Linked DNA regions of Rattus norvegicus. The protein of the gene in region 3 purifies or fractionates together with the protein of the main gene of each other region. This does not show direct contact. Links are inferred from orthologs where the notes say so. Each region holds a gene or a part of one and is shown on either strand. Other genes may lie near its edges.

Region 1 (3,655 bases), about 24 Mb from region 3:
AGGTAACCCATTTCCTAAGCTAGTCTGATGTGTGTACTAGTGACTGTGATAATGCTTGGTCTAGAAGTGCATTAGATAGGGTAGATACCCTTATCCTCATACATGAAACTTCAAAGACTGGCCTTTGTCCACCTTAGTAAGGCTAAATTCTTATATCCTTATAGATGCCTCTCCTCCAGTCATATTATGTTACTAACTAGCCAAGTGTATCTTTGAGGCTTCTGTGTCTATATATTCATAATCATCTATCTTTAAATTTTTTCCATAACTGGTTCTTAGTAATTTTTCCCCATTAAAGCTGTGCAGTTAGCACAGCTTCCATGATCACTCTGACTTCCATCCTGTATTCTATTTCTTACTTACACATGCTCCACACTGCATTCACTGAAAAGCATTTATTATGACAAAAGGGGCATGTGCTGTATAGGACAAGCAACAGTACTTTATGGTGGCAGCATTTGTGAGGTAGAAGCAGAAAGATGAGGCATCTAGTGGTAACCTTGGCTACAGAGTAAGTTTGAAGGTGAGCCCATAATTCAGGAAACCCTTTCTCCAAATATAAGGTGTTCCCCCACCCCATTTTGATTTTTAAATTTAGTTTGTTTGTTTTTGAGAGTATGTTAGAATTACATTGTTTCCCTCTAAATTCTTTCATATGCTCCTCCACACTCCTTCAGATTCATGGCCTCCTTTTTTTCATCAGTTGTTACTGCATGTATATATGTACTTTTACATACTCACATATATAAATCTGGTGTGTGTGTGTTTCCAAATATAGCCTGTTGAGTATATACATATATTGCTTTTATGTAAGTTTGTGGGGCTGACCATTTGACACTGGAGAAACAATTTTTGTTCTCTTCCCTGGGTAGGGCCATCTCTTCTGCTCCCAGCTTTCCTCAGTTACCTGTAGGACTGAGGCTCCATGGGCTTTAACTCACGTTTGGGCAGTTACGCTGGTGAGACTTTACAGGTGGAGCTTCTGTTGTTCTGGGAGATACATTCTCACCTCAGAGTAGGTAGGGTTTCTTATAAGCAGGAACGAATGTGGGAGTTAGTAGTCTTTAAATGTGTGAACTCAAATGGTTTTTTTAATTAGTTTTTTAAAAATACTTTTATCTGGCCTGGTGGTGGTGGTACACACCTGTAATTCCAGCACTGGGGGGTGGGGAAGGATGCACAAGCAGATCTTTGGGTTGGTGGATAGCCTGGTCTACAGAGCTAGTTCCGGGACAGTTAAGGCTACACAGAGAAATCCTGTCTCGAGAAACATAAATAAATAAGTCAATAAATAAACAACTGGATGAATGAGTAAATAAATAACTTTGCCTTTTTAAATATATGTATTAGGGGCTTGGGTGTATGTACAAGGAGCCCAGCGGATTCCCTAGACCTGTAGTTGTGAGCCATCTCTCCATCCTCTTTTGAGCCTGTTACTATGTAGTGTTGTGGGAAATAAAAGATGCAAGGTCTAGGCATAGGGCTATGTGACTGTAATCCCCTTACTTGGGAAGCAGGAGGATCAGGAGTTCAAGGTCACTCTTGGCAACATAACAAGTTTAAAGCCAGCCTGGGCTACATGAGACCCTGCTTCTACAGCCCTACCTTCCCAAAATGGAGTGGGGACAGAGAGTAGGGAAAGGAGAGAAAACTTTGGTGGGAAGCACCCATGTACTCAGTAGATAATGTCTGTTTCTGTTATGATGATGGTTCTGTGGGTCTTGCCATATTCACCACTCAGTACTTAATACAGAATATAATATTGGCATCTCATGGATCTTGCTAATTAACTGCTAGGAAATGAATAAGTCCATGAATGAATGATAAATAGAGAAAACATTTGAAAAGTAATTTTAAAATTTATAATTGGATGCTATGTTTCTTATGTGAAGCCTGTGTATGATAATGTTCCATTAAAATTAAACATTTATAAAAGAGTAAACTTTAGGTTTCTTACATATTAGAGAGATACTGGCTCTGATATTTTAAAGTTTAAATTTTTACCTTCATAATAAAAGGCTAATGCACCTTTATTATAAAAAAGTCATGGTTCAGAAGACACGGTTCTCATAATCAGAATTCAGCAATTTATTCAATATGTGATTGCTTTATACAACAAACCTCTGATTTAGTAGTAACATTTTGAAATTTTTTTTAACAGCAACAGTTTATTGAATTGGATGACAATAGGCAGAGATTGTTACAGAAGTGCAAGGAACTTATGAAGAGAGCTAGGCAAGTATGTAACCTGAGTGCAGACCAAGCCGTTCCCCAAGAATTTCAGACAGTAAGTATAAAAATAAATAATGCTGCGTTTGACATAACACAGTATTTCCAGTTTAAGATGTCCTACTCTAGGCATAGTCACAGGACATGAAAACACAAAGTGGTATTTAAAACTCTGCCTTTTCCCATTCTTATACCATTGATAGTGTACATAAAGTAACTTTATATAGCTTTCTCTCAGATTTAGTCACCAGTCCTTGCTTAGTTTTAAAGTATGGGCATTATCTTGAAATGACAGCATTCATTTTCACAATTAAAGTCTTTCCCTCTTAACCGTCGTTGAGAGGGACTGTTGGAGTGTAAAACATTTGTGGAAACTAGTAAGTCGTTTGTGCTTCACAAACAGCAAGCAAGGGTGATACTGAGAAGAAAAAGGCAAGTGGTTTTAGGGGTCTTGTCTCTAAAGAGGGGTTTCCAGGTGCTGAGTCTTCCGAGATGATACCTTCTTTCAGTTCTACGCTGCTATGTCAGAGTCCGACTAAGCAATGCTACCTTCCAGTTCACACTCTGCATTCACTCTGTCCCTTCAGTTCACACTCTGCATTCACTCTGTCCCTTCAGTTCACACTGCATTCACTCTCTCCCTTCAGTTCATACTCTGCATTCACTCTGTCCCTTCAGTTCACACTCTGCATTCACTCTGTCCCTTCAGTTCACACTCTGCATTCACTTTGTCCCTTCAGTTCACACTGCATTCACTCTCTCCCTTAGTTCACACTCTGCATTCATTCTGTCTCTTGTGTTCCTAGGCTTTGTCCGACAGTGAAACCTTTCTGCATAGCTACTCAGAGTAATATCAAAATAGCTACAATGCATTTTTAAATAGTAGTATTGTGTACTTTTAAAATCTTGAATGTATCAACGTTCACAGATAATGAAATATCCACTAAGCATAGAAAAAGGCTAGTATAGTTTGTAGTTGTCATATCCTGGAAGGTTTTGTTTTATACTACCTGACACAGAAAACCACAGGGTACTCTGTTTGGGTACAGAGTAAGAATTCAACAGAAATTCATAAAACTAATTGAGAGGTTTGTTTCTAAAGATAATTGTAGAATGAATCTAAAATATGTTTTGTTTAATAAGATACTGGTGTGATGTGTATAAGTTCTAGTTTTTGTGTGCTGGGCATGGTGGCCGTTGTGGGTGGAGGCAGGATGATCCCAAATTCAATACCTACAAACAGAACTGAACTCTGGGGGTTGGGGATTTAGCTCAGTGGTAGAGCGCTTGCCTAGGAAGCGCAAGGCCCTGGGTTCGGTCCCCAGCTCCGAAAAAAAAAAAAAAAAAGAACTGAACTCTGTTTCAACCCTGCCTCCCCAAAAGTTACACTGCTTTTGAAAAAGTGAAATCAGGAAATAATACATTT
Region 2 (3,655 bases), on a different chromosome or scaffold from region 3:
CAGGAAAGAGCTACATCCGGCTCCTGTCGGCCTAAACTTCTTTGCTTCATCCATCTTGTCTAATTGGGTGGCTGTGTATGTATGGGCCACATGTGGGGCAGGCTCTGAATGGGTGTTCCTTCTGTCTCTGTTTTAATCTTTGCAACTCTATTCCCTGCAAAGAGTATTCTTGTTCCCCTTTTAAAGAAGGAGTGAAGCATTCACATTTTGATCATCCATCTTGAGTTTCATGTGTTCTGTGCATCTAGGGTAATTCAAGCATTTGGACTAATAGCCACTTATCAATGAGTGCATACCATGTGTGTTTTTCTGTGATTGGGTTACCTCACTCACGATGATATTTTCCAGTTCCAACCATTTGCCTACGAATTTCATAAAGTCATTGTTTTTTGATAGCTGAGTAATATTCCATTGTATAGATGTACCACATTTTTTGTATCCATTCCTGTGTTGAAGGGCATCTAGGTTCTTTCCTGCTTCTGGCTACTATAAATAAGGCTGCTATAAACATCGTGGAGCACGTGTCTTTGTTATATGTTGGGGCATCTTTTGGGTATATGCCCAAGCAAGGTATAGCTGGGTCCTCAGGTAGTTCAATGTCCAATTTTCTGAGGAACCTCCAGACTGATTTCCAGAATGGTTGTACCAGTCTGCAATCCCACCAACGATGGAGGAGTGTTCCTCTTTCTCCACATCCTCACCAGCATTTGCTGTCACCTGAGTTTTTGATCTTAGCCATTCTCACTGGTGTGAGGTGAAATCTCAGGGTTGTTTTAATTTGCATTCCCTTATGATTAAAGATGTTGAACATTTCTTTAGGTGTTTCTCAGCCATTCGGCATTCCTCAGCTGTGAATTGTTTGTTTAGCTCTGAACCCCATTTTTTAATAGGGTTATTTGTTTCCCTGCAGTCTAACTTCTTGAGTTCTTTGTATATTTTGGATATGAATCCTCTATCAATTGTAGGATTGGTAAAGATCTTTTCCCAATCTGATGGTTGCCGTTTTGTCCTAACAACAGTGTCCCTTACAGAAGCTTTGTAGTTTTATGAGATGCCATTTGTCGATTCTAGATTTTAGAGCATAAGCCATTGGTGTTTTGTTCAGGAAATTTTCTCCAGTGCCCATGTGTTCAAGATGCTTCCCCACATTTTCTTCTATTAGTTAGAGTATCTGGTTTGATGTGGAGATCCCTGATCCACTTGGACTTAAGCTTTGTACAGGGTGATAAGCATGGATCGAGCTTCATTCTTCTATATGCTGACCTTCAGTTGAACCAGTACTATTTGCTGAAAATGCTATCTTTTTTCCATTGGATGGTTTTGGCTCCTTTGTCAAAAATCACGTGACCATAGGTGTGTGGGTTCATTTCTGTTTCTTCAATTCTGTTCCACTGGTCTATCTGTCTGTCTCTGTACCAATACCATGCAGTTTTTATCACTATTGCTCTGTAATACTGCTTGAGTTCAGGGATAGTGATTCCCCCTGAAGTCCTTTTATTGTTGAGGGTAGGTTTAGCTATCCTGGGTTTTTTGTTATTCCAGAGGAATTCGCAAATTGTTCTGTCTAACTCTCTGAAGAATTGGATTGGAATTTTGATGGGGATTGCATTGAATCTGTAGATTGCTTTTGGTAAAATGGCCATTTTTACTATATTAATCCTGCTGATCCATGAACATGGGAGATCTTTCCATCTTCTGAGGTCTTCTTTGATTTCTTTCTTCAGAGGCTTGAAGTTCTTATCATACAGATCTTTCACTTGCTTGGTTAAAATCACACCAAGGTATTTTGTATTATTTGGGACTTTTATGAAGGGTGTCGTTTCCCTAATTTCTTTTTTGGCTTGTTTCTCTTTTATGTAGAGGAAGGCTACTGATTTATTTGAGTTAATTTTATACCCAGCCACTTTGCTGAAGGTGTTTATTAGGTTTAGTAGTTCTCTGGTGGAACTTTTGGGATCACTTAAATATACTATCATATCATCTGCAAATAGTGATATTTTGACTTCTTCTTTTCCGATCTGTATCCCCTTGATCTCCTTTTATTGTCTGATTGCTCTGACTAGGACTTCCAGCATTTTCCTCTAAAGTAGTATCTGTCTTTGTCATTGAGGAATGTTTCTTGTATGCAGTATATTTTTAAAGATATATTTGTGTATGTGTTTGAGTGCATGTACAGATTAGGGTTGATGTCGGTTATCTTCTTCAATCATTTGCCAACTTAGTTTTTAATTTTAAAATGCAGACTGTTAATGAATACAGAACTCAGTGATGCAGTAAGATTAGTTGGCCAGCAAGTTCCAGTGATTCTCCATTCTCTGCCTACTCAGTGGTTAGGATTATAGTAGCATACCAATTTCCCTTTTTTTTTTTCCCTTACATAAGGTTTTTTTTGTGTAGGTCTGGCCATTCTAAACCTGATTCCAAAGAATAGGCTGGACTCAAACTCAGGGATCTACCTGTCTCTGCCTCTAGAGAGCTAGGATTAAAGGCAAGGGCTACCACTTCTTGGCCGTACCAGCTTTTTACAACTTAAGTTCAATGGACGGAACAGAGGTACTCCTGCTCTTGTGCAAAGCACTTTGCTTACTCAGGCTCAAGTGCTTATAGCAAAAAGACTAATACTTAGCTCCTCTATACTCAGTACTCTTGAGATACTCTTCTTCCCAATTATGCTGTAACAAAACCTGGGTATGTACTCAAGGAATTTACAAAGATGTACGTAATCTTTTCTCCTTTATGTAAAATAAATTTGACAATACATAAACAAAACAAGTGTTCCCAGTAAAGGAAGACTATCAAATAAAAGTTATAGTAGAAATCATAAAATAATGAGTCTAGCTAGAGAAAATAGGAAAGATTCGTGGAAATACTCAAAAACCAAACAACGGCCTAGAGAAGTGACATGTGTAGAATAAAGACATAGCTAGAAAACAATAGGTCCTGGTTAAAAAAATCAAATGTCTACTTATAGTAAAATAAACCCCTAAAATAGATATCACATATAATGATATTTATGCTTTTTATGACTAAACTTTGTTTGATACTTACACTTAATAACTTTTTCCTTGAAAAATATTCAAATTGAGAATTTTGGAAAAAATTTAAAAGTTGTCATTATTTGAAGTCTATTTCAAATACTTAGTATATTTAAAATATTGACAAACATGATCAACATAATTTGTCCTGTTTATAATTTTACACTACAAAATCAAGCATTCATATTTTTCTAAAAGTATGAAAAGACACTTTTAAAAATTAGTATCTATACCATAGTAAATCACATATTAGACAAAATGTCTTCGTATGAAAGGACATACCTGACGAGCATCTCCACGAGAGGCCAGGCTCCTTTCATACAAGTTGGACACTGAAATAGCTCTAAGTAGTATCTTGACATGGCTGGTGACTTCCAAGGAGGATGCAGATGAAGAAGAGCTGATAATATATGAAAGTATCGACCAGAAAATGTATCTATATTATCCTATTATTGAAAATAAATAAAAATAGAATAATGTTAACAGTTAACAGTTTTATCCATTAATTTAGTGTAAAACTAGAGTAGTAATTCTAGCCTACCCTTGTGAACAACACATCAGAAAATCTTAACTGTTAGGGTAGCACATATAAAATTTTCATAACATGATGACAGTCACAA
Region 3 (3,655 bases):
GTGTTTCATCTAGTACCTTGCACAGTGACACTAAAAATGCCAACCACTAGTTGGGCATGGTGTCACCTTTAATCAATCCCAGCACTTGGGGGGCAGGGGCAGGGGCAGGGGCAGGGGCAGGGGCAGGGGCAGGGGCAGATCTCTGTGAGTTTGAGGCCAGCCTGGTCTACAGAGAGAATTCCAGGACAGTCAGGGCTGTTATACAGAGAACCAGTCTGGAAAAAACAAAACCCAAAACACCCTCCACCTGCCGCCACATGACAATAATGAAAGAATACTAGAAAGTAAACCACATGACAATAATGAAGATTGTCTCTAAAGTCTTTTAAACAGGTTTCCTGATATACTCCCAAAGTCAAGAGTAGAAATGCCATATTTTGCCCTAAATCTTAGTTCACAAGTATGATGATCCTCACAGGCTCATAGAGAGTAGCACTATTAGGTGTGACATGTGGCTTCGTTGGAGAAAATGTGTCAGTGGGGGTGGGCTTTGAGGTTTCACATGCTCCAGCCAGGCCCGGGTCACTTCTCCTTGCTGCCTGCCAATCCAGGTGTAGAACTCTTGGCTACCTCTCCAGCATTCTAGCTGCCTGCATGCTGCCACTTCCACACCAGACTTTCAACTATAAGTAAGCCTCAGTTAAACATTTTCCTTTATAAGAGTTGCTGTAGTTATGGTATCTCATCACAGCAAAATACCACTGACTAAGACAACATGTAATAGAGTTTTCTGATACCAATAAAACCTGGGTCCTCTGCAAAAGCAGCTGGCGCTCTTATCTGCTGAGTCATCCTACCCAGACCATCTAAGAACAGGCTGGTAGATCTTTGAGGCCTGGTCTACACAGTGAGTTCCAGGCCAGTAAGGGCTATATAATGAGACTGTTTAAAAGGAGACAGGATTTCTAGGGCAAGACTATTGTATATATGTACATGAAGGCATAATCACTCACATAGGCCCCTGCTAAGGCGAAGGTAAACACTGGTAGTCTTCCTGTATCACTATGACCGTATTTACTTATTGGCTGTGGAAGAGAACACATCCATAGCAAGCCAGTGGAGGTCAGAGGACAACCTCAGGAGTCTGCTGTCTCCTACCATCTGGTTCCTGGAGACGGAATCTGGATTGTCAGGCTTGGTGACAAGCACCCTTTCCAACTGGACATCTTGCCTAGCCCATTTCATCTTACTCTTTAAGAAAGGGTCTTCCTGAACCTGGAGCTACAATCACTGGCCAGTGAGCCCCTATGATCTTCCCATATATACTTTCAGCTATATACAGGAGTTGCCAAGATGTGTTGCCACTCCGAGCCTGCAGATGGGTCCTCAGAATCTGAACTTAGGCCCCTTGTACTTGTGCAGTAAGCATTTTACACAAAAACATCTCCCCTGCCTACAGGGCAGATTTTTGCATAGTACAAAATATCCTTTTATACTTAAAAAAGGTTTAACCACTATTTTCTATAAATCCAGAATTTTATTAAAATAGAACACTCCAGTAGTTTTAAGAAAAACTTGACAGGAGTTGGGCAGTGGTGGCACATGCCTGCAGCCCCAGCACTTGGGAGGCAGAGACACCTGGATCTTTTTGAGGTGGAGGACAACCTGGTCTACAGCGTTCCAGGCTGGCCAGGGCTATACAGAGAAACCCTGTCTTCAAAATCCAAAACCAAACAAACAAGCAACAAAACTTGCCATGAACTGTGTCCTTGGAAGGAGAATACTACCTTAACTGGGCACTACTAACAGGGAACCTAGCGTAACATCAAGAGCCCTAGAGAGGGCCAAAATCCACTGTATTATATACTAAATTACTGTCTTCTCGATATGCCCAGAGCAATAAACACCTACACTCATGTCTAACATATCTAGAGGAACACCAAAGCACTATATAAAATCTACATCATTTAAACAGAAACAAGGACATATAAATGAATTAAGCATTAATATGGACATGGAAGAGAAACAGCCAGCTGAGTTTGCATAAAAACATACATGGGGCTGCCGACATGGCTGAGTGGTTCAGAGTGAGAGCTTGTACTGCTCTTATAGAGAACTAGAATTCAGTGCCTGGCACACATGTCTGGTGACTCAGTCACTACAATGCCAGCTTCAAGGAACCTGACACCTCTGGCCTCCACAGGCCTGCATCACATGCACAGACTCCCACGTAGATACGTGTGAATAGGGACACAGGCACAAGCACTGCTGTAACTTGAGAAGGAGCACTGGCTCTTCCTGCCTCATTTTATTCCCCTAGGAACCATGGGTTTAATATGGATTTTTTTTTCTGCTTAAAGTGAGAACAATTCATTTATCCACTTAATAGTGTGCATGGGGTGCGCATCATCTCTAGAAGCCGGAGTGCAGCTTTCTTGAGGTGGTTCTTTGCTTCTACCGTGTAGGGCCGGGGCACTGAACTCAGGTAGTGAGGCTTGGTGGTAAACGCCTTCACTCCTGAGCTATTTTGCTAGACCCTAGGAGTTTACTGAGTAGGAAATACAGTAGGTACCCACTATAAGCCCCAAACAATTCTCTTACCCGAAACAGCCACTTTAACACAGGTACAGGACATTGGACGTAGTGGTATGCAGTGGTAAGGAAGCCTTGTGTTGTCAAAAAAATCTGATCTGTTTTTCCTGATCTGGAAACAGAAAATCAGTGATGGTTACCCATGGAAAAAACCTCTTGCACACACACTGGGCATAATCAGAGAAATGAGGAAGCAAACTTCAGCTGATGGGGTGGATTCCACACTAACATGGAGCAGGTTCCCACGTAACTGATGCCCATCTGACTCCTCTGTGGGCAGAGGCACATTTGTATGCAGTGCTCAGACTACCAAGTCTGAGGACACGAGCTTTTGCCATTTTAGGGGTGAACTTTCCTAAAACTCAGCACCAGAGTCCACATGGTCTTTACAGACTTGAAATGCCACACACTCAGAACAATTATCCTAGTCAGGCATTGGACAGAGCGAGCCTAAGAACTATCTATCCCAATATCTCTTTTTGTCTTTCTCAGTGGTACTGAAGTTCTGATTTTTAGCTGCGCAAAATCACTTGCTATATGTGCTACTGCTGACAGTTCACCCAATCAGCCACAAGCAAAGGCAAGCTCCAGCTCTATGTGCTTTCTGCGAATCTGAGCGGGAAGCGAGCACTGCAATACAATGGAGCAGTAGACAGTACTAGTGGAGGAAAAACACAGCAAAACAAGAGACCAGAGCCAGGACTCTCTAGCCATGAATAAAACAAACAGGGGTTGGGGATTTAGCTCAGTGGTAGAGCGCTTGCCTAGGAAGCGCAAGGCCCTGGGTTCGGTCCCCAGCTCAGTGGTAGAGCGCTTGCCTAGGAAGTGCAAGGCCCGGGGTTCGGTCCCCAGCTCCGAAAAAAAGAACCAAAAAAAAAAAAAAAAAAAAAAAAAAAACCAAAACAAACCTTGGTCAAACTCCAGCTTCTGACAGCCACTGTTATTACTGTTGTCACCGGTGACCCTTTCCTTTTGTGGTACTGGGAATATGTTTTTGGAGAAAAGGTCCTGCTCTGTAGGCTCAGAGTGACACCAAACTTGCGATCTTCCTGCCCCAGCAATTCTAGGATTACAGCTGTGAACTGCCATGGCTGGATTTTACATAATCAGTTCTCCACTTTGA

The links.
Region 1: the proteins of Slf2 (region 3) and Smc5 purify together in Homo sapiens (affinity purification with mass spectrometry; 3 studies listed by BioGRID and IntAct, with this or other methods). This does not show direct contact. The link is inferred for Rattus norvegicus from reciprocal best matches to the Homo sapiens genes SLF2 and SMC5.
Region 2: the proteins of Slf2 (region 3) and Slf1 purify together in Homo sapiens (co-immunoprecipitation; 3 studies listed by BioGRID and IntAct, with this or other methods). This does not show direct contact. The link is inferred for Rattus norvegicus from reciprocal best matches to the Homo sapiens genes SLF2 and SLF1.

What each region holds. Positions count from the first base shown.
Region 1 is NC_086019.1:230,210,105-230,213,759, reverse strand, and holds part of Smc5 (structural maintenance of chromosomes protein 5), read left to right. Parts: intron 1-2,161; coding exon 2,162-2,287; intron 2,288-3,655. UniProt on the Homo sapiens protein: Core component of the SMC5-SMC6 complex, a complex involved in repair of DNA double-strand breaks by homologous recombination.
Region 2 is NC_086020.1:8,554,207-8,557,861, forward strand, and holds part of Slf1 (SMC5-SMC6 complex localization factor protein 1), read right to left. Parts: intron 3,482-3,655; coding exon 3,318-3,481; intron 1-3,317. UniProt on the Homo sapiens protein: Plays a role in the DNA damage response (DDR) pathway by regulating postreplication repair of UV-damaged DNA and genomic stability maintenance.
Region 3 is NC_086019.1:253,752,482-253,756,136, reverse strand, and holds part of Slf2 (SMC5-SMC6 complex localization factor protein 2), read right to left. Parts: intron 2,645-3,655; coding exon 2,542-2,644; intron 1-2,541. UniProt on the Homo sapiens protein: Plays a role in the DNA damage response (DDR) pathway by regulating postreplication repair of UV-damaged DNA and genomic stability maintenance.